Linked DNA regions of Anolis sagrei. The protein of the gene in region 3 purifies or fractionates together with the protein of the main gene of each other region. This does not show direct contact. Links are inferred from orthologs where the notes say so. Each region holds a gene or a part of one and is shown on either strand. Other genes may lie near its edges.

Region 1 (8,266 bases), on a different chromosome or scaffold from region 3:
CTCTGTTGTCCCCTTCACCAATATATCCTTGTATCTTGGCCATGTCCTCCATCCTAGTAGTCTTCTTTGATGCGCCTCCATTGCTGAAATCCATAGTGGTGTTGTTTTGTAAAAAAAAGCTTTATACCTCATCCATGAGGGACAACTGCTGTATCTCAAAGCACATTCGAACTGGTTGAAAAGTCCCAATATTGCTCCTGTTCTTTCGATTTTAAACTGAATTAAAATAAACCGTCCTAGAGAGATGGTATAAAAAAGTCACTGATCATAATGGGAGCTGACAGAAAACATTCTGGGATGAACAAAACACGTACCATCTCCAAAATAAAACCAGAAATTACTGGAACAAAATCTGTGACTTTCTGGTCTTTATAATGAGTCTGGATTAATCGCTATCTAGCTTGTAAGGAAGATGAAACAGCCTAGGAATATTTTACTTGTCATGGATAGGAAAGGAAGAGGATCGGACATCTTGCTGAGCTTGCACCAAAACCCAAATGCAAAATGCCTATATTCAGAAATGTATTGTGCAGAAACCAAGGAATTGTTCTGCTCTGGTGAGTACTTTTATTTATACAAGTGACCATGCAGTTTGACACCACTTTAACTGCCACGGAAATTGTAATATTTTTACAAGATCTTTGGTTCTGTTTGCCAAAAGTTCTGGTGCCTTACCATACTACCACTTTCATCAGTCCACAGCACTGAGTTATGACAATTACAGTGGTGTAAACTGCATTAATTCTATAATACCGATACATCCCGCGTACTTTTTATTATATCATTTTGTTTCAATACCTGAAAAGCTTTTCCACCAATGGGAGGCTTTCTATTCCCAGAGGCTGTCGATATCCCAGCTGATCCAAATGCTTCCTGAGATTAACAAACTTTCTCTCTGCAGCCGTAGTCATTGTGAAGATATTTGTAGCAGAGATATTTGGGGTTAACAATCAGAATCTGCAAGTAATTTGAAAAATGTGCACATTACACGAGCATGAGGGCTGAGTAGGGACACTCATTTAAGATAAGGTATAGATCAATATGACATGTCTTCCAGTTTTGTTATGGAGATATTTCCTTGCATTGATGCCACCACCCCTTTTAGATCATGCTGCTGGTACTTCCTTATTAGTGTTTGAAGTATGACCCTTCTGAATACGCTTCCCTTCTTGACTGTAAGAACTGTTCAGCTGTGGAATTCTCTACATCAGAGTGTGATGAAAGCTCCTTCATTGGAGGCTTTTAAACAGAGGCTGGATGGCCATCTGTCAGGGACACTGATTGTGCTTTTCCTGCATAGCAAGGGATTGGACTAGATGGCCATGTGGCCTCTTCCAACTCTGCTGGCCAGACTTCAAACGCCTACTTGGCTATGGGAACCCACTGGGTGACTTTGGTAAATCACACTCTCTCAGGGCTCCTGGTGTGAGAGAATTGGCCATCTGCAGGGGACGGCGAGATGATTTTTGATGTTTTTATCATCCTTGTGGGAGGCTTCTCTCATGTCCCCGCATGAGGAGCTGGAGCTGATAGAGGGAGCTCATCCGCCTCTCCCCGGATTCGAATCTGTGACCTATCAGTCTTCAGTCCTGCCGGCACAGGAGTTTAACCCATTGCGCCACCAGGGGGGCTCCATATATATATATATATATATATATATATATATATATATGATACTGATATTGTACTGTGCTAATAGGAGCCACCGGTGGCGCAGTGAGTTAAAGCACTGAGCTGCTGAGCTTGTTGATCGAAAAGTCGCAGGTTTGATTCCGGGGAGCGGCGTGAGCTTCCGTTGTCAGCCCTAGCTTCTGCCAACCTAGCAGTTCGAAAACATGCAAATGTGAATAGATCAATAGGTACCGCTCCGGCGGGAAGGTAACGGCGCTCCATGCAGTCATGCCGGCCACATGACCTTGGAGGTGTCTATGGACAACGCCGGCTCTTCGGCTTAGAAATGGAGATGAGCACCACACCCCAGAGTCAGACATGACTGGACTTAATGTCAGGGGACTACCTTTACCTTTACCTACTATGCTAATAATATAATATGTTGTATGTTTATATGTTTTGTAAGCCGCTCTGAGTCCCCTTCAGGGAGAGAAGGGTGGCTGGTTTTGACCTACAAAACCCTGTACAGTTCCAGTCCAGTGTATCTGTCCGAACGTATCTCCCTCTACGTCCCACCTCGGAGTCTGAGATCATCTGGGGAGGCCCTGCTATCAACCCCACCACTGTCACAAGTGAGGTTGGTGGGGACGAGGAGCAGGGCTTTCTCAGTGGTGGCCCCTCACCTGTGGAACTCACTCCCGGGGGAAATCAGGGCATCATCATCCCTCCTTGCCTTTAGGAGAAGGGTGAAGACTTGGTTATGGGACCAGGCCTTTGGGCACTCCGGCAACTAAATCAGACAACCAGGCGAGTAAGACTGGATTGATGAAGTGGAACGTAAAACTAGATCTATGAGTAGCGAACGCTGACCATGTAAGAGGAGAAATTGGGTTTGTATTTGGTTTTATTGATTTCATTGATTTCATGGTTCTAATGCATAATTGTTGTTAACTGTGTATTGATGTAATTTTGTGTATGATTGTTTTTATGATGCAGGCATCAAATTGTGCCTTTGCTTTTGTAAGCCGCCCTGAGTCCCCTTCGGGGTGAGAAGGGAGGGGTAAAAGAACCCCAAATAAATAAATAAATAAATATAAATGTCGCAAATAAATAAATAAAGCAGATAATGTGGGGTTATTTTCAGCTGTGTGGGTGGGGCCTCAGAGGAAGGGAAGTGCAAGCCTCTTTTGAAGAAATTCTGCCTGGGAAACTCCATGATAAGGTTGCCATAAGTAGGAAACCACTTGGAAGCACACAATAACATTCCTTTCGACACTGAAGGGAGGTAAAGCTGTTGTCTGCCCTGGCTGAAAGGCTACAGGGATTTCCTGGCGGTGATTAGTAAGGATAGGAAGCGGTGAAGCCTCAAGGGAAGGCCCTCCACCTCAGCGCGCTCTGGTAGCAGCCTGGGGGCCTTTCGAAGAGGGGCTCCCACTCCAAGTGACGTCACCGCCCTCTCGTCATCCGCGTCGCCATGGAAACGGGCCTTCGCGGCCTCCAATCTCGGCCGCGCTCTCTTTCAGGCCAGGCACGCTGACAGCCCCACTGAATCTTTTCCCACTCACCAGCTCCGGGAGGCCATCTACTCCACACCACCGGGTGCTGCTTCCCTCTCCCTCCGCCGAAAGAAAGAGCGGACGGGCCTAGCAAGCCGTTTGAAAATGGCGCGCGGAGCGTCGGCAACTTCCGCCCCAAGGTCGCCCCGGCAACCGTCGCAAGCGTCGCGCGCCTCACCCGCCGCCCCACAGCGGCCCCTGGCGGGCATCAGGGAGAATGACGCACACGCAACTGCAGTTGTCGATGTCCTTTACTACTCCCGCCCCTCCAGACCGCAGGAGCCAATCAGGCCGATTGTAGGACAGCTCGCGCTTCCGGATTGGTCTACTGCAGCAAGTGAATGGGAATGAATGGGCACCTGATGAACCAGCCTGGACACAGCATATTATTTGAGAACACAGAAATGCTGGACCACACCAACAACCACCATGTCAGACTACACAGAGAAGCCATTGAAATCCACAAGCATGTGGACAATTTCAACAGAAAGGAAGGGACCATGAAAATGAACAAAATCTGGCTACCAGTATTAAAAAACTCTAAAATTACAACAGCAAAACAGCAGAGAGGAAACAACCAGGCACATCTTAACACCTCTCAACAGAACATTTTCCCAGGCTCAGCCAGGCCTTCAAATGCTAATGAAGGTGGTCAGCTGAAACATTCACACCTAGCTTCAGCAGAGAGCTCTTTGCCACACCCCAGTCATTCCACAGATATATAAACCCATTGTCCTAATTCCAACAGACCTCACTATCTCTGAGGATGCTTGCCATAGATGCAGGCGAAACGTCAGGAGAAATGCCTCTAGAACATGGCCCTATAGCCCGAAAAAACCTACAAGAACCTAATGGGCACCCTGTCCCTCCAGATGTTGTGGACTTAAATTTGCAGCAGCTTCCCCCAATAATCAGATTCTGGGGGCAGAACTCCAAAATACTGGATGGAGCAGAGTTTGGGAGGCACCTTCCACACAGCTGTATACAATCCACATTGAACTGGATTATATGGCAGTGTGGACTCAGATAATCTCATGAATTACTTTTCAATAACTTTAAAGCATAGGTTGTTTTTATTGCAATTTCCAGTGTGAGGGGGTATATCAGATTACAGAAAATCATTTCGACATAGGCATATAGATTCTATGCAACTACATTGGATTCACAATTACACTGGTTAACAGACAAAGGTGAATTACATTTTCAATCACCACACACATGTGCAGGCATATAGCCGGGGGGGGGGGGGCTTGGGGGGGCTTCACCCCCCCCCCCCGAAATTCTCATGGTGGTCCGCGAGAAGGCCTTGATACATTATTTAAACTGTTATGATTATTCATATCATGATCTGATCACCATGCTCAATATATCCCATATGCATGGGGGTATTGGTGTAACGATACAAAAGGTTTGCTAGGGCAGACCCTCTTTCACTTGGACTCAGAACCCCCCCCCCCCCAAAACAAAATCCTGGCTACGGCCCTGCACAAATATTACTGTACCGAGAAGCACCTGTTAGGCCAGACCCTGCTTTCCTGCAGCCTGCCAACACATAGTTCCAAAACTTCCATAAGTTCAAAACTTCAAAATGCATCTTCTCCCTAAGCACAATGCCAAGGACCAGATCTCTGTTTCCCATACAGCAGAACTTGATTCCACACACAAAACTAAGACTCCAAAAGTGCACTTCTTCCTCTTCTCTTGAGAAAAAAGCCCCAAAGTGACCAGACTGCTCCAGTGCAAATCTGCCACTCCATGGTACACTATATCTCTCCTTCTCATGGAGCAGAGCATAGTGGGTGAACCAGACTCCTCAGGTCTGTCACAATTTGAGAATTATTAGATTGAGTCTTTTATGGGAATATTCTGCTGATGTAGTCCCAAAGTTGTAAATTAATGATAGACGTCTTCCATCCTGGTTCCATCTGTTTCCTGGCCAGATCTTGATTCTTCTTGATTGGTGCTGATTTTATGTTGACTTCCTTCTTAACATTGTAAACATTTCTGTTATCACTGTCCCAGTGCTTATCAGAGTTTACTTTTCAGATCTTATTAGCAACTTTTAATTACAGTCCAGCAAGTGGGTAGTTAGTCATTGCAGGCCTTAATATTTTACTGGTGTTTCAAAAATTATTAACTCATCCCATACATCCTTCCATTCATTCCCACACATATATTAAATTCACATTTATCAATTCTGCACATTGAATTTCTTATTACAATAACCTAGTTCAAAGCAGATAGTATAGATTAACTGCCTTGATATTCAGTGTTATATAGCTGTGTAGAAGGGCGCCCAGTTCAAAGCAAATATTGCAGATTATTTGCCTTGATATTCAGTGTTATATAGCTGCGTGGAAGGACCCATTGGCAAGGAATCTTCAGAGGTGGTTTTGCCACTTCCATACTTCTGGAATATAGCCTCCAGCATTTGGTATTAACTGGCAGTCTCCCATCCAAGGGCTAACCAAGATTGAGCCTGCTTAGCTTTCAAGACCTGATGAAATCTGGACTCTTTCAGCCCCTAGTTATGGCAGATTGTTTTTTTTTTTAAAAAAAAAATCTGATTACCAATCAGCTTCATTTGTTGCAAAATGGAACAGCTAAGGCCCCTTTCACACAGCTGTATAAAATCCACATTGAACTGGATTATATGACAGTGTGTACTCAGATAACCCAGTTCAAAGCAGAGATTGTGGATTATCTGCCTCAATATTCTGGGTTATATGGCTGTGTGGAAGGGCCATAAGTTGTGTCGTACCATACAAGTTTGTTATTTTTTTTGCAACCGAAAGACTTTCAAGGTTCACCAGTTGAGAGCCCAGTTCAATTTGTCCTCTTCTTTAAAACAAAACAGACAAAAATGATAAACATGTGGCCTCCAGAAGCCAGTGAACTCTGGCTAAGGCAACTGATATTTCCGCTCCAACACATCTGGAGGATTGCATAATGCTCAACCGCTCCCCTTTTTGATGTTCAGTGATTATGATTGAGTCTAATCATTTTACCGTGTATTAGTTGCCTTGAGCATTTTTGTAGAAAAGGATTAAAAGTGCAATAAGACCGTACTTGCATCTGCTATATGACAATGTTAGAATACACTGTAGCAAACTCATTTGACTTAAAACGTGGAGTGGTTCTCGTTTGCTGTCCCCAGGGCACAAACGCTGTTTGGTGACTACTAAACCTTATGAGGGATGTTTGATCATATTGTCTTCATACACAGAATTTAAATGTAAGAACAGCTTGAGAAAGTGGCATCGGCAACACTCTGGAAAGGCAGATATGTAGGCGGAGGAAACCAACTGTAACCAATTAAATGTTTTAATTCTTCCTGAACTGAGGTGCTCTGATCCTGAGACACAGTGCCTGTGATTACATTAAGTAACACGATTTTTGTTCCTGGGTTAGAAATGTCATTTTATAATTGGTTCTATCATAAAAACATGGGGAAAGTTGATTAAACTGCAAAAGCTTTGTTTTTGCGGGACATCCTACAGCATATTTTGCTATAGTTTTTCAATGAGTATCTCATAGTCTCTCAACCAATTCAACAAAATTTTGTCTAAGACCCCTTCTACACTTCCAGATTATCAAAGTAGGTAATCCACATTATCTGCTTTGAACTGGATTATATGAGTCTACAATACTATATAATCCAGTTCAAAGTGGATTATCTGGATTTTATATGGCAGTGTAGAAGGGGTCTTAGTGTAGAGAGGGTCCAAGGTGTTATTTTACTGGCTTCACTGGCTATGCTTAGATCATGGACAGAAAAATCTTGAGCCTTTTATATAAAATATTACTTATAACTTCCATTATGGAGCCCCCAGTGGTGAAGTGGGTTGAACTGTTGAGCTGCTGAACTTGCTTAACCAAAAGGTTGCAGGTTCGAATCTGGGAGCAGGGTGAGCTCCCGCTGTTAACTCCAGCTCCTGCCAACCTAGCAGTTAGAAAACATGGAAATATGTATGAGTAGATCAATAGGTAATGCTTCAGCAGGAAGGTAACTGCGCTCCATGAATTGTAGCATTTTATTGCTTTTTATCTCCATAAGTTATTTCAGTGTTTTTAAAGGAAGCTTCCAATAGCATCCTTCTATTACTAGTAAGAGAAAAGTATGAACACAATCTTTGGATGACTCACTGGATAAACAGTTGTCGATTTTCTTTTGTGAACTGCTCAAGCACAACTAACAATCTTCCACAGGTTATGTATGTAACTTTTTTTACTTCAGAAGAATTACAACAATGGTCATGTAAAGTGATTCTGAAGAGCATAATCTTGGCTATCCTAACCATCAATATATTAACATGCTTTGATACAATAGTTCTCCTTTAGCTGTTTACAACAACTTTAAAATTGCATATTTTCTAGGAACTACAGTTGAATAGGGAAGCATAGTGTGTGTGGTACTCCAGGAACACACAGAACTAATAATATCCTGTGGAAAGTAAAACTACCAAGACTGTACTACATATGAAAATGTACAATTTAACACTTTTTAAAAATCCAGTAATTAAGTAGCATTTTGGCTTAGGCCACTGGTTGCTAGGATGAGCGCAGTTACAGATACCCCTTTATAATGCCAACTCTCAAAGCAACAATATCTCCAGTGTCAAACATTCTTCTCAGAAAGCTTGCCAGCTTATCTTGCTTGGCAGATATTAGTGAGACTGTGCAATGCTGGAGAAGTAGTCCAAAATGTCTTGGATAGTGAACTCCATAGTAATTCCAGATCCAGGGTAGCAACGTGCTATTAAGCCTTCAAAGTGCTTGTATTGCCGAATGAACTCATCTTGCATTGAGTGCCACACCACCTGACAAACAGAAGAAAGTGGAGTTTTAATAATGAAAATACTGGCGGAGGTTCCACTTCAAACCTCCAGGCCTGTCCTACTAATGGATAGCAGTGTTGTAAATATAGTTAGCCCTCTGTATCTATGGATTCTACATCTACAGATTGAAAATATTCCCTCTCCTCCCAAAAAAAAAAACAATCAAAAATTCAAAATTTGATTTTGCCATTTTATATAAGGGATACTATTTTACTACATAATCGTATATAACAGGCATCCATGGATTGTGGTATCTATGGG
Region 2 (8,027 bases), on a different chromosome or scaffold from region 3:
ATACTGTTAGCAAACAATGTGATGTGAACTTGAAGGAACATATACTAAAGCTCCAGGTCTCAAATAGGTTCAGCACCTTGGACAGGTCCTTTAAAGTTCAGACTAAAATCTGCAGTACTAAAGCAAGCACCAGCTGATAAGAATAAACAAATAAACCGTCACCTGACTGTAAAAGTGTCTTATGAAGTGAATGGACAATTTCTCCCACTTCCACCCAACAAACATTAATTAAAATTCTAATGAGGTTTAAATATCCCGAAGGCACCAGATCCTGTCTGATTGGGGAAGCTAAAAAGGGTCAGACCTGGTTAATACTTGGATGGAAAGCAAACAATGAAAACCAGAGGTTGCAGATTGCATTTCAGAGAAACTGGCAAAAACACCACCTTGTGTCTTCCTATGAAAACTATGAAATTCGTGGGATTGTCATAAATCAACAGGTGATTTGAAGGCACACACAGGTGGTATTCTACCAAGCCACATGTTTCAAATTACGTGAAGACAGAACTGGTGGACCACGATTAGGGAATAGCCAGGACCAAACAAGTAGTTCTGACAGAAGATAGTAAAAGCAAAAAAGCCAGTTAAAGAGCTTATGATCACAAAGCACAGAAAACAAAACCGCAGAGTGAACCAAGCACACTTTTATAGGAAAGACATGACCAAAGAGGGAGATCAGGTGAAGAAGGACAACAGAAGCAGGTGAGGCCACAAACAAACCAGAAATCGCCACAGATCAGAATAAGTTTTAGACTGTAGCTCAGGTATGGGCAAACTTTGGCCGTCCAGGTGTTTGGGACTTCAACTCCCACAATTCCTAACAGCCTCAGGCCCTTTCCTTTTCCCCCTCAGCTGCATAAGCGGCTGAGGGGGAAAAGGAAGACACCTGAGGCTGTTTGGAATTGTGGAAGTCCAAAACACCCAGAGGGCCCAAGTTTGCCTATGCCTGCTGTGGCTCAATTCGTTACAAAATTATTACAAACTTCTCAGTTTCTCAATTCTGAGAACAACTATCAAGAAATCACATGAGCATCAACAAGTGGTGCTCTCATTAGAATTGAAGGTTCCCATGGCTGCATTTAGACTGCAGAATGAGTGTAGCTTGACACTACTTCAACTGCCATGGCCATGGAATCTGTAGTTCTACAAGGCCTTTAGCCTTCTCTGCCAGAAACGACAACTCCCTGGATCCCACAGCATTGAGCCATGGATTTTTTGTGTGCCATGGAATGAACTGCATTCATTCCACTTGTTGATCAGGCATCATCAAACTCCAGTCCTCCAACTGTTTCAGTTTCCAACTCCAAGAATTCCTAACCATTGAACAAGCTGGCTAGGGCTTCTGGGAGTTGGAGGCCAAAACAGCAGGAGGGTTGGAGTTTGCGGATGCCTGGTATAGATGTACCACTATGTGATTTTTAAAAAATATAATTATACATTTTATTTGAAACATCCCAACAATTAACAAACTTTTGCCATACAGGACTTATTTCAGTATACATAATTCCAAAAGTAAATATACCTTAAATGACATTTTATACATTCCTTAATTATGTATTGCCCATCACCCCCGCCCTCCCCACCCCCCTGGAACAGCAATTCTAAATGATGTCATTGCATCAGTTAAACCATGTTGAAAGCCTGATTCAAAATGCAATATCTGTTGTCTCGGTCTGTTTTGTCAATGAGCACAGACCATTTCCTGAACCAGTCTTGTTCATTTTGACTATTCATATACTTATTTTTCCTTTGATTGATGAAATCATGAATTATATATTCTGATAGATAAGCCCACCAAGTTTCTAAATCCCATTTTGTATCCTCTCTCCATCCTTGGGCTATTGTGGCTTGTATTGCGGCTGTCATATATTTTAGGATCTCTGTCCAATTATTGTTATCTTCCTTTTGCCTTTATTGTGAGGAACAAGAATCTGGCTTTATCCCACATTAATTCTTTCCCTAATATTTCCTCCATTTCATTTCTTATTTTACTATAATAGTTCTGAATTTTTCTACAATCCCACCACATGTGGGAGAATAAACCGTTTCCCCATCAATTATGCCAACACTTGTTGGAAATATTTTCCATTCTGTGTTCTAATTGATGGGGGGTTCTTTACCATTTAGAGATTACTTTGCTTTGGATTTCTCTGATCCTCATATGCTTAATTTTCTGAATGTGGTCAATCCAAGACTTAGTTAATTTCTTGCTAAAGTTTCTATAAGGGTTGTTTTTGTGTTGTAAGTTAAGGTGATTAGTTCCTCATACAACAGCCCAATAATTCATTTATCTATTTCTATTTTCCTTTTAATTATTCTGTCTAGTAGGGTTTCTGCTACTTCTCTTCTTTTCATGGCCTGAGCTTTACTGGACAGGCCTAACCATGCTATCCAGTTCCCTTGACCATATTAATCTTTTATCTTATCCCACTTTGTTATTTCTCCATTGGGTTCCATGAGGTCCCCTATCCTTTTGATTCCACGATGTGACCTGGCCTACCTTGTTATTGGCACCCATCCTAAAACCTCCATTAAAAACAACAACAATGGGAATGCCAGGGATTGGCCTGAAATGGGGAAAAGGAGGGGGACTGAAGGATGAGCATCCAAGAATCACTGATCCTATCCAAGGCCTCTACAAGGAACCACAGCCACGAACAAGAATAAAAAAACACTAGGATTTAGGAACAATGGGTTTCATGTCTGGGAAGGGAGGGTGTTTTGTTTCGTTTTGGTGGGGTTTTTAAGGGGTTCCTAGCCTTCTTGCCTGCTGAGAGCAGGGCCATGTGGCCAGCAGGCAGCCTCCATGGGCAGCCGAGGGAGTGGCGTGGGTGAAGCGCCCCGAATTTCCCTCCCGAGCGCGAGTGGGGTTACCTTTCCCAGGCAAATGTGACAAGTGATGGGCAGCGTGAGGGACAGTGTGACGTTCTGAACGTTCTGGGCCATGGCGAGCGCGAGCGTTCCAAGAGGCAGGCGAGCCCGGAAGCCAGCCAGCGAGCGCGCGCGCACTACAGCCCCCGCGGCCAAGGCAGGCGCGGCTTCCCCGGCGCTCACGCGGCGCTCACGCTGCCTCGAGTATGGCAAGCCGGCGAGGCCAATCTTCCTCTCCTTTCAGCGTTTCCCCCTTAGAGCCGGGAGGAGGAGCCGAGCACATGGAGAGGGAACGGCGCGCGCCCTTTCCCCCGGATTTGGCCTCCTCCCACGGCGGGGCGGGGCAGGGAATTGCAGCCTGGAGCTGGGGCCCTGCATTGCCAAAGGAAGCAGCACGGTTGCACAAGGACAGGGGGACAAATCACTCCAAACAATGAAACCAATACAAGTGAGGCTGTCAAAGTCTCCTCCCTAAACTACAAACCCCAGAATTCTGTAGGAGGCAGCAACCGGATTTAAAGTCGATTCATTCTCTAGTGTGATTAAGTGGCAAAAAGTTGCATGGATTGTTATATACTTTTCTGCAGTTTTTTTTAAAAAGTGCGTTGAAATCAAAGGGTTCAAAGGTGCATCTGCACTGCAGAATTAGTGCATTTTGACACCACTTTTAACTCTCGCGGCTCAATGCTGTGGAATCAAGGGAGTTGCAATTTTCGTGAGAGTCCTGGTACCTCACCAAACTCCAGTTTCCATGATCCTTTAGTATTTAGCCATGGCAGTTAAAGTGGTGTCAAAATGCATTAATTCTGCAATGTAGATGTGTGCCCCATGTTTACTGGATCCCACGGCAAAATACTGGATTCAGTCAGTCCTGCTTTCTGTCTGATGTTAATGGGATTGGGAGAGACTGCACAGACTCACCAAATAACTTTTGCAACAAGGATTTTCGAGATCTAGTTTCCCCTGTAAACCAGGGATGGGCAACTGCAACTCTGTGGCTAACTTAGCCCATCCATGTTACATCTACAGCAGGCCCTTGGTATCTGCTGCGGTTTGGTTCCAGCACCCCCTGTGGAGACCAAAATCTATGGATGTCCAAAATCAAGGTTTGCTTTTGGTGTGTGTGTGTGTATCTCTAAAATTACAACAGCACAACAGAGAGGAAACAAACAAGGACATCTAATCACCTCTCAACAAAAGTTTGCTCTAGGCACTGTCAGGCCATTATATGCTAATCAAGGTGGTCAGTTGAAACATTCACACTTAGCTCCAGCAGGCAAGTGTCCTTTGTCTCACCCTGGTCATTCCACAGATATATAAACCCTTTTTTCCTAGTTCCAACAGACCTCACTACCTCTGAGGATGCTTGCCATAGATGCAGACGAAACGTCAGGAGAGAATGCCTCCAGAACATGGCCATATAGCCCGAAAAAACCTACAACAACCCAATTTCATACATCCATGGTTTGAAAAGAAAAAGTTGCTCTGAGTCCCCTTTGGGGTGAGAATAGCATAAAGTAAATAAATATATATAGGGTTTTTTTAAAATACTGGTAGCCAGATTTTGTTCATTTTCATGGTCTCCTCCTTTCTGTTGAAATTGTCCACATGCTTCTTGTGGATTTCATTGGCTTCTCTGTGTAGTCTGACATGGTGGTTGTGAGAGTGGTCCAGCATTTCTGTGTTCTCAAATAATATGCTGTGTCCAGGTTGGTTCATCAGGTGCTCTGCTATGGCTGACTTCTCTGGTTGAAGTAGTCCTCAGTACCTTTCATGTTCCTTGATTCGTGTTTGGGCAATGCTACGTTTGGTGGTCCCTATGTAGACTTGTCCACAGCTGCATGGTACACGGTAGACTCCTGCAGAGGTGAGAGGATCCCTCTTATCCTTTGCTGAACGTAGCATTTATTGGATTTTCTTGGTGGGTCTGTAGATAGTTTGTATGTTGTGTTTTCTCATCAGCTTCCCTATGCGGTCAGTGGTTCCCTTGATGTATGGCAAGAACACTTTTCCTCTGGGTGGATCTTCGTCTTTATTCTCATGGCTTGTTCTCAGTCTTGCATGTATGAAATTGTGGATGCAGAATCTGGATATGGAGGGCCAACTATACTTCACTGGATCAACTGTTCAAGTAAATGTTTTAAAACACACTTCATTTTCCCTGAGTTTAGGTACCCGGCAATGTCCAGCTTAAGTATTTGGTAATTTGTAATGCTATTTATATTTTTAAAGCTTTTTAAATTTTTTATGAATGGTTCTATTAAGAAAATGCACAATGCATCCAAGGTCAATCCACCTCAAACCCCACCAGTATTTTCTGTTTGTCATGTTGGGTGTGTGTGCCAAGTTTAGTTCAGATCTATCATTGGTGGGGTTCACACTGCTCTCTGGATGCAGGGTGAACTACAACTCCTATCATTCCCACCAAACCCCAACAGTTGTTAAAGTTGGTCATAATGGGTAAATGCGCCAGGTTTGGTCCAGATCCATAGTTGATAGGGTTCACAGTTCTCCAAGGGTGTAGGTGGACTACAGCTCCATCATGTTGGGTCTGTCCCCCCAAACACCTCCAGTATTTTCTGTTAGTTATGCAGGGTAAGTTTGGTTTAGATCGATTGTTTGTGGGAGTCACACTGCTCCCTGGAAGTGTAAGCCATCTTGGGAAATAGATACATAGATTAGATACAAACTTACATACATACAACATACATATTTTCGCTTTTATATAAAAAGAACAAGAGAGGCATTGAGACCACACTCAGAGAATTTCTTCTCCCCTTTTTCCTAATGGGTACAATTCAAAGGTAGGAAAGTGTTCTAAGTACAATCATTTTCCTTTCTTATGTACATGTTGAAATTTGGGAAGTGAATTTTAAAATGTAGTTATTAGTTAACAACACTTTTTAAAAAGAAGAATCGCTGTATCTTGTTAGTTTTAGTTATTATTATTTTTAAAATAGAGTTGGAATTGCAATTTCTGAGAGCCTCAAAGAGCCCCCTATTGGCTGACTAAATTATAATCTCACTGCTCTGTATTTCCCAGCCGTGTCTGTGTTTTCAAGTCTACTGTGGATTTAAATCACCTGTCAACGTACAGAGACCCCATGAATTTCACAGGGTTTTCTTTTGCAAGGGATACTCAGAGGCGGTTTTACCAGTTCTTTTTTCTGAAATGTAACCCAGAGTTCCTGGCATTCATAGGTGATCTCCCATCCAAGTGGCAATGGATTCTATAGCCCAGGCATGTCCAAAGTCCAGTCTGGGGGCCAATTGCGGCCCCAGTTCCACAACCCCACTCTCTAGGCCTCCCTCCCTCCCTTTCTTGAGTTCCTGCCTCTCTTCGTTCCTTCCTTCTTGGGGATCAGGGCCCCCCACATTTTCCAAAAAGGCTTCCCTTTGCTGTGGCTCCTTCCTTGGGAAGAAAAAGGGAGAGTCAGGGGGCAACTACAGGCCACAATCAAAGCCCTCCCAACAGATGGCTGTGCAGACTCTGCTGAAAAGACTTCAGAGAAGGAGACTCCACCAGACTCTGAGGCAGAATATGCCATTGTCTGAAATGACTTGAAGGCACACAACAATTCTAATTAACTTGACTCTCCCATTAACCAAAAGCAGGCCCACACTTCCCATTAAAAGACTGGTACATTTACGTTGGTTAAAATTGTTCTTTGTTTTATATATTGTATTGTTCTTCCATGTTTGTTTGTTTGTTTTGCACTATAAATAAGACATATGCAGTGTGCATAAGAATGCATTCATTTTTTTTGCAAACTATATTCTGGCCCTCCAACAGAATAAGGGACTGTGAACTGGCCCTTGGCTTTAAAAGTCTGGTCACTCCTGCAGCCTGACCATATACTGGGAAAAGAAATCGTTCCATTGTCTTGAATAACCAACCAATCCGTTTGAATGGATATTCCCTAATGGTGCATATACACTGTAGAATTAATGCAGTTGATGCTGCGGCTCAATGCCATGGAATTATGGGCACTGTGGTTTTACAAGACCTTTAGCTTTCTCTTCCAGAAAGTAGGGATGTCTCACCAAACTACAAATCTAATGATCCCATCACTTTGAAACATGACAGTTAAAATGGTGTTAAGCTGCATGAATTCAACAGTGTAGATGGAGGTTAAGTTTCTTTAATCTCTCCAAAAAAATTGTACAGGCAGTCTCCTAGTTACAACCATCAGACTTACAGATGACTCATAGTTAAAAACGGGGGTGAGACAACAGGAAGTGTGAGAAATCTAACCGTAAGAATGGATATTCATTCCTGAAAGAGTTATCATGAGGCAAAGGTGTTTCAACTGAGGCTTTATCTCAAATTCTTGTTTCCACAGCAAGCTAAATTTTTCAAAATCCAATTCTCACAGGGACAGAAAGAGATGTGAAATCTTCTGAACAGAGGCACAGACAGCAAAATGAACACCACAGGGGTGTTAACCCTTCCTTATGCTAGCCAAAGCTAAAAGATTATGTAACTTATTTACAAATTCAACTTAAGAACAAAGCTACAGAACATATCTTATTCACAACTTGCAGACTGCCTGTACTAGGTTTGCAAAATACTCACTTTTTTCTTAACCTGAAGGAACAACACTTGCAGCTTGAATCTTGGCAGCAACAGAGCAATGGAGGCAGAACTTTTAGATTTTGCTTGCCAACGGGCCAGCAGCAGTAGGAGAGTTGCATGTGCATATTGCTGTGTTTGGAGCACTGATGCTGCCAATGCTCAGCAGGAAGATTTGCAAATGCATAGCACCATGTACAATTGGGGTCTGAAGGTTTGGGAGCCCTTCGCTACAAGGAAATGTCTATGTCACTACTGCCACAGCTAATGTTGCTATTAAACACCAGCAGTTGGGTGCCTTGAAAAATATCAGTTTTTTTCCCTTTAAAAATGTTATCTAGTCTCTTAACAAGCCACGGGTTTCCAAATGTATCATGAGTACAGCCATGCATTCAGGAAGGTGGGTCTGCTGGTAAGTGAGATTGGTAGCAAGTCCATGCCTCATTTAGAGCCAAAAAAGCGCTCTTATTAATGCACAGAGATGCACAGAATATGACTGGTCCATGAAGTCACGTAGAGTTGGAAATGACTGAACGAATGAACAACAAATGAACTAATGTCCCATATGGAACTTCTGCCTATG
Region 3 (8,126 bases):
TTTTTTAGTGAAGGACATACATTGGACTGTTAGGTGTCTTGTGTCCAAATTTGGTGACAATTTGTCCAGTGGTATTGGAGTTCTGTTAATCCCACAAACGAACATTACATTTTTATTTAAATAGATTTAATTTAATTTAATTAATAATCTATTTTTATATTATATCCTACTTGGATAACGAGGGATCGCCTAAGTAAGTTTTTTTATTAAAGTATGTAAATGTTGTTGTTGTTGTTGTTATTATTATTATTATTAAGTTGCTACCCCTCTATTCTGTTTTGGTTAGACCACATCTGGAATATTGTGTCCAATTCTGGGCACCACAATTCAAGAGAGATATTGACAAGCTGGAATGTGTCCAGAGGAGGGCGACTCAAATTATCAAGGGTCTGGAGAACAAGCCCTATGAGGAGCGGCTTAAGGAGCTGGGCATGTTTAACCTGAAGAAGAGAAGGCTGAGAGGGGATATGATAGCCATGTATAAATATGTGAAGGAAGTCATAGGGAGGAGGGAGCAGATCAAGGGTCTGAAGAACAAGCCCTATGAGGAGCGGCTTAAGGAGCTGGGCATGTTTAGCCTGAAGAAGAGAAGTCTGAGAGGGGATATGATAGCCATGTATAAATATGTGAGAGGAAGCCACTGGGAGGAGGAGGGAGCAGGCTTGTTTTCTGCTTCCTTGGAGACTAGGACGCAATGGAACAATGGCTTCAAACTACAAGAGAGGAGATTCCATCTGAACATGACTGTGAGAGCCGTTCAGCAGTGGAACTCTCTGCCCCGGAGTGTGGTGGAGGCTCCTTCTTTGGAAGCTTTTAAACAGAGGCTGGATGGCCATCTGTCAGGGGTGATTTGAATGCAATATTCCTGCTTCTTGGCAGAATGGGGTTGGACTGGATGGCCCATGAGGTCTCTTCCAACTCTTTGATTCTATTATTATTATTATTATTATTATTATTATTATTATTAAGTTTTAGGGAGCTGTCCAAACAGGCTGCAATACCCCGACGAGGCTGGATGGTCATCTATCAGGGGTGATTTAAATGCAATATTCCTGCTTCTTGGCAGGGGTTGGACTGGATGGCCCATGAGGTCTCTTCCAACTCTTTGATTCTATGATTCTATTATTATTATTATTATTATTATTATTATTATTATTATTATTATTATTATTATTATTATTATTATTAAGTTTTAGGGAGCTGTCCAAACAGGCTGCAATACCCGGACGTGGCCACATGATGGCAGCAAAGGAGAGTACATTGGAGCAAAAGTTTTGGGGCAAAAGGCAATTTAATAGAGCAGAAAACCCAGGCGGGTGCAATCTGGACATGTCCCCTAGAGGGCAGCAAAGAGACCGCACGATTAGAACGAAGGAGCTCATTGGGACCCTGCCTGGGGATGATGGGATCCGTTGGCTCCAGACCTTGTCAAAACAAACCAAACAAACTACAACTCTCGCGATCCCATAGCCTGAGACCTTGTCAAAACAAAGTACAACTCTCAGGATGCTATAGCTAATGAATAAATGAAAGAATGAATTTTCTCTCCACCCCCGCAGTTTGGAATGGAACCTTCGGAGCGGCATTGAGTAAATAGGACTCTGGACGGAACCATTCCAAAGGAGGGGAGTCTTGGAGAGTTTGGGTCCCTTAATAGCCCATTTCCCGGCTTCCTCGCCCCTTACCTGCCTGGCTCTGGATTCCAAGGTGGCAAAGGAAGGTGCCTATTCCTGTGGCTTGGCTCTGACTCCCCTCCTTGCCTCGTCCAGCAGTCAATGGGTTTCTATGGAGGGGGAAAGTCGCCTGGTTAACCCTTTCCCTCCAGGGCAGAAGCAGAGGGAGAGGGAAAAGGCGCCTTTTGGAGGCCAACCGGCGGGAAGGGAGGGAGGGAGGAGGGAGGGCTGCATTGATTGGCTGCAGAACTATTATTATTATTATTATTATTATTATTGTTTCTCCCAAATGCAAACCATCTAAAACAGTGTTTCTTAGCCTTCCTAATGCCTCTTATTGTGGTGACCCCCAATATTATTATTATTATTATTATTATTATTATTATTATTCTCCTTGCAACTTCATAACTCTAATTTGGTTACTGTTATGAATCACAATGTAAACATCTATTTTGCAGGATGTATTTTCATTCACTGGACCAAATTGGGCACAAATACCTGATATGCCCAAGTTTGAATACTGTTGAGGTTGGGGAAGGGGATTGGTTTTGTCATTTGGGAGTGTAGGTGAACTACGACTCCCAGACTCAAGGTCAATGCCCAACAAACCGTTCCAGTATTTTCTGTTGGTCATGGGAGTTCTGTGGGGGAAGTTTGGTTCAATTCCACTGTTGGTGGAGTTCAGAATGCTCTTTGATTGTAGGTGAACTATAAATCCCAGTAACTACAACTCTAAAATGTCTATTTCCCACCAAACTTAACCAGTGTTCAAATTTGGACATATTGAGTATCTGTGCCAAGTTTGGTCCAGAGCTATCATTGTTTGTGTCCACAGTGCTCTCTGGGTGTAGGTGAACTATGACTCCCAAACTCAAGGTCAATGCCCACCAAAGTGTTCCAGTATTTTCTGTTGGTCATGGGAGTTCTGTGGGGGAAGTTTGGTTCAATTCCACTGTTGGTGGAGTTCAGAATGCTCTTTGATTGTAGGTGAACTATAAATCCCTGCAACTAGAACTCTAAAATGTCTATTTCCCACCAAACTTAACCAGTGTTCAAATTTGGACATATTGAGTATCTGTGCCAAGTTTGGTCCAGAGCTATCATTGTTTGTGTCCACAGTGCTCTCTGGGTGTAGGTGAACTATGACTCCCAAACTCAAGGTCAATGCTCACCAAACTGTTCCAGTATTTTCTGTTGGTCAAGGGAGTTCTGTGGGGCAAGTTTGGTTCAATTCCACTGTTGGTAGAGTTCAGAATGCTCTTTGATTGTAGGTGAACTATAAATCCCAGCAACTACAACTTCCCAATGACAAAATCAATCACCAGTATTCAAACTTGGGCTTATCAGGTATTTGTGCCAAATTTGGCCCAGTGAATGAACATATATTTCTGGACCATCTTAACAGCATCCACCCAAACATCCAATTCAGCATGGAAAAAGAAAATGAAGAGTCCTTTGTCCCACCCTGGTCATTATTCCACAGATATATAAACCCCTTTTCCTAGTTCCAACAGACCTCACTACCTCTGAGGATGCTTGCCATAGATGCAGGCGAAATGTCAGGAGAGAATGCCTCTAGAACATGGCCATATAGCCCGAAAAAACCTACAACAACCCAGTGATTCCGGCCATGAATCCTTCTACAATATATAACATTTGATGTGTAATATTTTATTATCTCTGGTTAACTTTTAATCTATAATATTTATATTTAATTAATAATATTTATATCCTATTTATTTAACATTTAATCTATAATATTTCTATTATATTTAATTAATAATATTTCTATTATATTTATATCACATTTGATCTATAATATTTTATTATATCTAGTTAACTTTTAATCTATAATATTTATATGTAATTAATAATATTTATATCCTATTTATTTAACATTTAATCTATAATATTTAATTATATTTAATTAATAATATTTCTATTATATTCAATTAATAATGTTTCTATTATATTTATTTAACATTTAATCTCATATTTATATTATACTTAATTAATAATATTTCTATTATATTTATATAGTATTTGATCTCTAATATTTTACTATGTCTAGTTAACATTTAATCTATAATATTTATATGTAATTAATAATATTTATATCCTATTTATTTAACATTTAATCTATAATATTTAATTATATTTAATTAATAATATTTCTATTATATTCAATTAATAATGTTTCTATTATATTTATTTAACATTTAATCTCATATTTATATTATATTTAATTAATAATATTTCTATTTATCTAACATTTAATCTATAATATTTTACTATATCTAGTTAACATTTAATCTATAATATTTATATGTAATTAATAATATTTATATCCTATTTATTTAGCATTTAATCAATAATATTTCTATTATATTCAATTAATAATGTTTCTATTATATTTATTTCACATTTAATCTATAATATTTTATTATATTTAATTAATAATGTTTCTATTATATTTATTTAACATTTAATTAATAATATTTTACTATATCTAGTTAACATTTAAGCTAAAATATTTCTATTATATGTAATTAATAATATTTATATCCTATTTATTTAACATTTAATCTATAATATTTTATTATATCCAGTTAACATTTAATCTATAATATTTAATAATATTTATATCCTATTGATTTAACATTTAATCAATCATATTTCTATTATATTTAATTTTTATATCCTTTTTTTGACATTTAATCAATAATATTTCTATTATATTCAACTAATATTTGTATTCTATTCAGTTAACAAGGTTTCTAATATATTTACTTAGTCACAATGTTAATATTATTTACCTAATATTTAAATAGCACTAATTGCAACCACAAAAAACCAGAAAAAGTGCTCAGTTTGAGAGGAAACCCTGCGAAACTACATTTCCCAGCATACCCTGGGCCGCCGCGCCTCCTCTAACCCCGCCCTTTCCGGTCTGGCTAAGGCCCGCGAAGATTCGTCCTGATTGGCGGGAATCTTAGAATCCGGCGCGGGAGGGGCAGCGTTGCGTGAGGGGTTCTTCTCCCCTCAGGGCGCATGCGCGTGAGCTTGGTCTGTATGTCTGCCTCTCTCTCCTTTTTGACCCATAGTTTGACCCAATTCCCTCTATTTCCTCCTATTTTTCTGTATTAGACATCTCTATATTGTCTCTAACTACATAGATAGCAGGCCTGGGCCAACTTGGGCCCTCCAGGTGTTTTGGACTACAACTCCCACAATTCCTAATAGCCGGTAGGCTGTTAGGAATTGTGGGAGTTGTAGTCCAAAACACCTGGAGGGCCCAAGTTGGCCCAGGCCTGCTATATACCTATATTATCAACTATATCTGTCTCAAACCCCTATATAACTCTCTATAGTCTCTATACCATCTATTCTATGTATTTATACATAATTTAATAATATTTCATTTATATTTATTTAACATTCAATTAATATTTCTGTTTTATTTATTTAATAATGCATTCCTTTAATATTTATATAAAATGTTCATATTTACTATTTATTATATTTGCTTAACATTCAATTAATATTTCTGTTTTACTTATTTAATAATGCTATCCTTTAATATTTATATAAAATGTTCATATTTACTATTTTTTCTACTATATCTGCTTAACATTCAATTAATATTTCTGTTTTACTTATTTAATATTTATATAAATATTCATATTTACTCATATTTTTCCTATTATATTTGCTTAACATTCAAGTAATATTTCTGTTTTACTTATTTAATATTTATATAAATATTCATATTTACTCATATTTTTCCTATTATATCTGCTTAACATTCAATTAATATTTCTGTTTTACTTATTTAATATTTATATAAATATTCATATTTACTCATATTTTTCCTATTATATTTGCTTAACATTCAATTAATATTTCTGTTTTACTTATTTAATATTTATATAAATATTCATATTTACTCATATTTTTCCTATTATATCTGCTTAACATTCAATTAATATTTCTGTTTTACTTATTTAATATTTATATAAATATTCATATTTACTTATATTTTTCTACTATATTAGCTTAACATTCAATTAATATTTCTATTTTACTTATTTAATAATGCATTCCTTTAATATTTATATAAAAATTTCATATTTACTAATATTTTTTCCTATTGTATTTGCTTAACATTCAATTAATATTTTTGTTTTATTTAATAATGCATTCCTTTAATATTTATATAAAATTTTCATATTTACTAATATTTTTTCCTATTATATTTGCTTAACATTCAATTAATATTTCTTTTACTTATTTAATAATGCATTCCTTTAATGTTTATATAAAATTTTCATATTTACTAATATTTCTATTATAGTTGCTTAACGTTCAATTAATATTTCTGTTTTACTTATTTAATATTTATATAAAAATTCATATTTACTTATATTTTTTCTACTATATCTGCTTAACATTCAATTAATATTTCTTTTACTTATTTAATAATGCATTCCTTTAATATTTATATAAAAATTTCATATTTACTAATATTTTTTCCTATTATATTTGCTTAACATTCAATTAATATTTTTGTTTTATTTAATAATGCGTTCCTTTAATATTTATATAAAATTTTCATATTTACTAATATTTTTTCTACTATATCTGCTTAACATTCAATTAATATTTCTGTTTTATTTATTTAATAATGCATACCTTTAGTATGTATATAAAATTTTCATATTTTTTCTATTATATTTATTTAACATTCAATTAATATTTCTATTTTACTTATTTAATAATGCGTTCCTTTAGTATGTATATAAAAATTTCATATTTACTAATATTTTTCCTATTATATTTGCTTAACATTCAGTTAATGTTTCTGTTTTACTTATTTAATATTTATATAAATATTCATATTTACTAATATTTTTCCTACTATATTTGCTTAACATTCAATTAATATTTCTATTTTACTTATTTAATAATGCATTCCTTTAATATTTATATAAAAATTTCATATTTACTATGATTTTTTCCTATTGTATTTGCTTAACATTCAATTAATATTTCTGTTTTACTTATTTAATATTTATATAAATTCATATTTACTTATATTTTTCCTATTATATTTGCTTAACATTCAATTAATATTTCTGTTTTACTTATTTAATAATGCATTTCTTTAATATTTATATAAAATTCATATTTACGAATATTTTTCCTATTATATTTGCTTAACATTCAATTAATATTTCTTTTATTTATTTAATGATGCATTCCTTTAATGTTTATATAAAAATTTCATATTTACTAATATTTTTTTCTACTATATTTGCTTAACATTCAATTAATATTTCTTTTATTTATTTAATGATGCATTCCTTTAATGTTTATATAAAATTTTCATATTTACTAATATGTTTTCCTATTATATTTGCTTAACATTCAATTAATATTTCTGTTTTACTTATTTAATATTTATATAAAAATTCATATTTACTTATATTTTTCTACTATATTTGCTTAACATTCAATTAATATTTCTATTTTACTTATTTAATAATGCATTCCTTTAATATTTATGTAAAATTTCATATTTACTAATATGTTTTCCTATTATATTTGCTTAACATTCAGTTAATATATCTGTTTCATTTATTTAATAATGCATTCCTTTAATGTTTATATAAAATTTTCATATTGACTAATATTTTTTCTACTATATTTGCTTAACATTCAATTAATATTTCTTTTATTTATTTAATAATGTATTCCTTTAATGTTTATATAAAAATTTCATATTTACTAATATGTTTTCCTGTTATATTTGCTTAACATTCAAATAATATTTCTGTTTTACTTATTTAATAATTCATTCCTTTAATATTTATATAAAAATTTCATATTTACTAATATTTTTTCCTATTATATTTGCTTAAAATTCAATTAATATTTCTGTTTTATTTATTTAATAATGCATTAATATATGTGTGTGTGTGTGTGTGTGTGTGTGTGTGTGTGTATATATATATATATATATATATATATATAGCTATATCATCTATATCTCACTTTATATCTTCCTCAAGCTGTACTTCTATAATATTGTTTCATTTTCCGCCCCTATTTTTTCCCTATTGGCATTTTATCCATTTTCTCCCATTGCTTATTTACTTATTTATTTACAGCATTTATATTCCGCCCTTCTAATTTGATCATATTCTATATTTTCCAGGTGGGGAGATGGTTGGCTTTCTTTTCTTCTTCTGGACGGATTGGGAGCCGATCCTTTCCCATTGAGAGGAGCTTCCTTCACATTATATATGTTTTAGGATATTAGTATCTTCGTTCTTATAGAACTAATATTGACCTTCGTGAACTTGGACAGTTTCATTCCAGAGCATTTTGGGAAGACTTTCCCCATCATTCCAGCAAAAAAAAAAAAAAAAAAAAAAATCAATTTCCCCTCAT

What was found.
Region 1: the proteins of WRAP73 (region 3) and CEP135 purify together in Homo sapiens (co-immunoprecipitation; 6 studies listed by BioGRID and IntAct, counting the BioPlex papers as one, with this or other methods). This does not show direct contact. The link is inferred for Anolis sagrei from reciprocal best matches to the Homo sapiens genes WRAP73 and CEP135.
Region 2: the proteins of WRAP73 (region 3) and OBI1 purify together in Homo sapiens (affinity purification with mass spectrometry; 3 studies listed by BioGRID and IntAct, counting the BioPlex papers as one, with this or other methods). This does not show direct contact. The link is inferred for Anolis sagrei from reciprocal best matches to the Homo sapiens genes WRAP73 and OBI1.

Annotation. Positions count from the first base shown.
Region 1 is NC_090025.1:73,424,571-73,432,836, forward strand, and holds the start of CEP135 (centrosomal protein of 135 kDa), read right to left. Parts: upstream 3,312-8,266; 5' UTR 3,177-3,311; intron 958-3,176; 5' UTR 912-957; coding exon 799-911; intron 1-798. Other genes in the region: EXOC1 (exocyst complex component 1), read right to left, coding at 7,835-7,987. UniProt on the Homo sapiens protein: Centrosomal microtubule-binding protein involved in centriole biogenesis. Acts as a scaffolding protein during early centriole biogenesis.
Region 2 is NC_090023.1:116,801,283-116,809,309, forward strand, and holds the start of OBI1 (ORC ubiquitin ligase 1), read right to left. Parts: upstream 3,104-8,027; 5' UTR 2,947-3,103; coding exon 2,875-2,946; intron 1-2,874. UniProt on the Homo sapiens protein: E3 ubiquitin ligase essential for DNA replication origin activation during S phase.
Region 3 is NC_090033.1:11,946,784-11,954,909, reverse strand, and holds the start of WRAP73 (WD repeat-containing protein WRAP73), read left to right. Parts: upstream 1-4,649; 5' UTR 4,650-4,739; exon of another isoform or gene 4,740-4,743; intron 4,744-7,890; 5' UTR 7,891-8,126.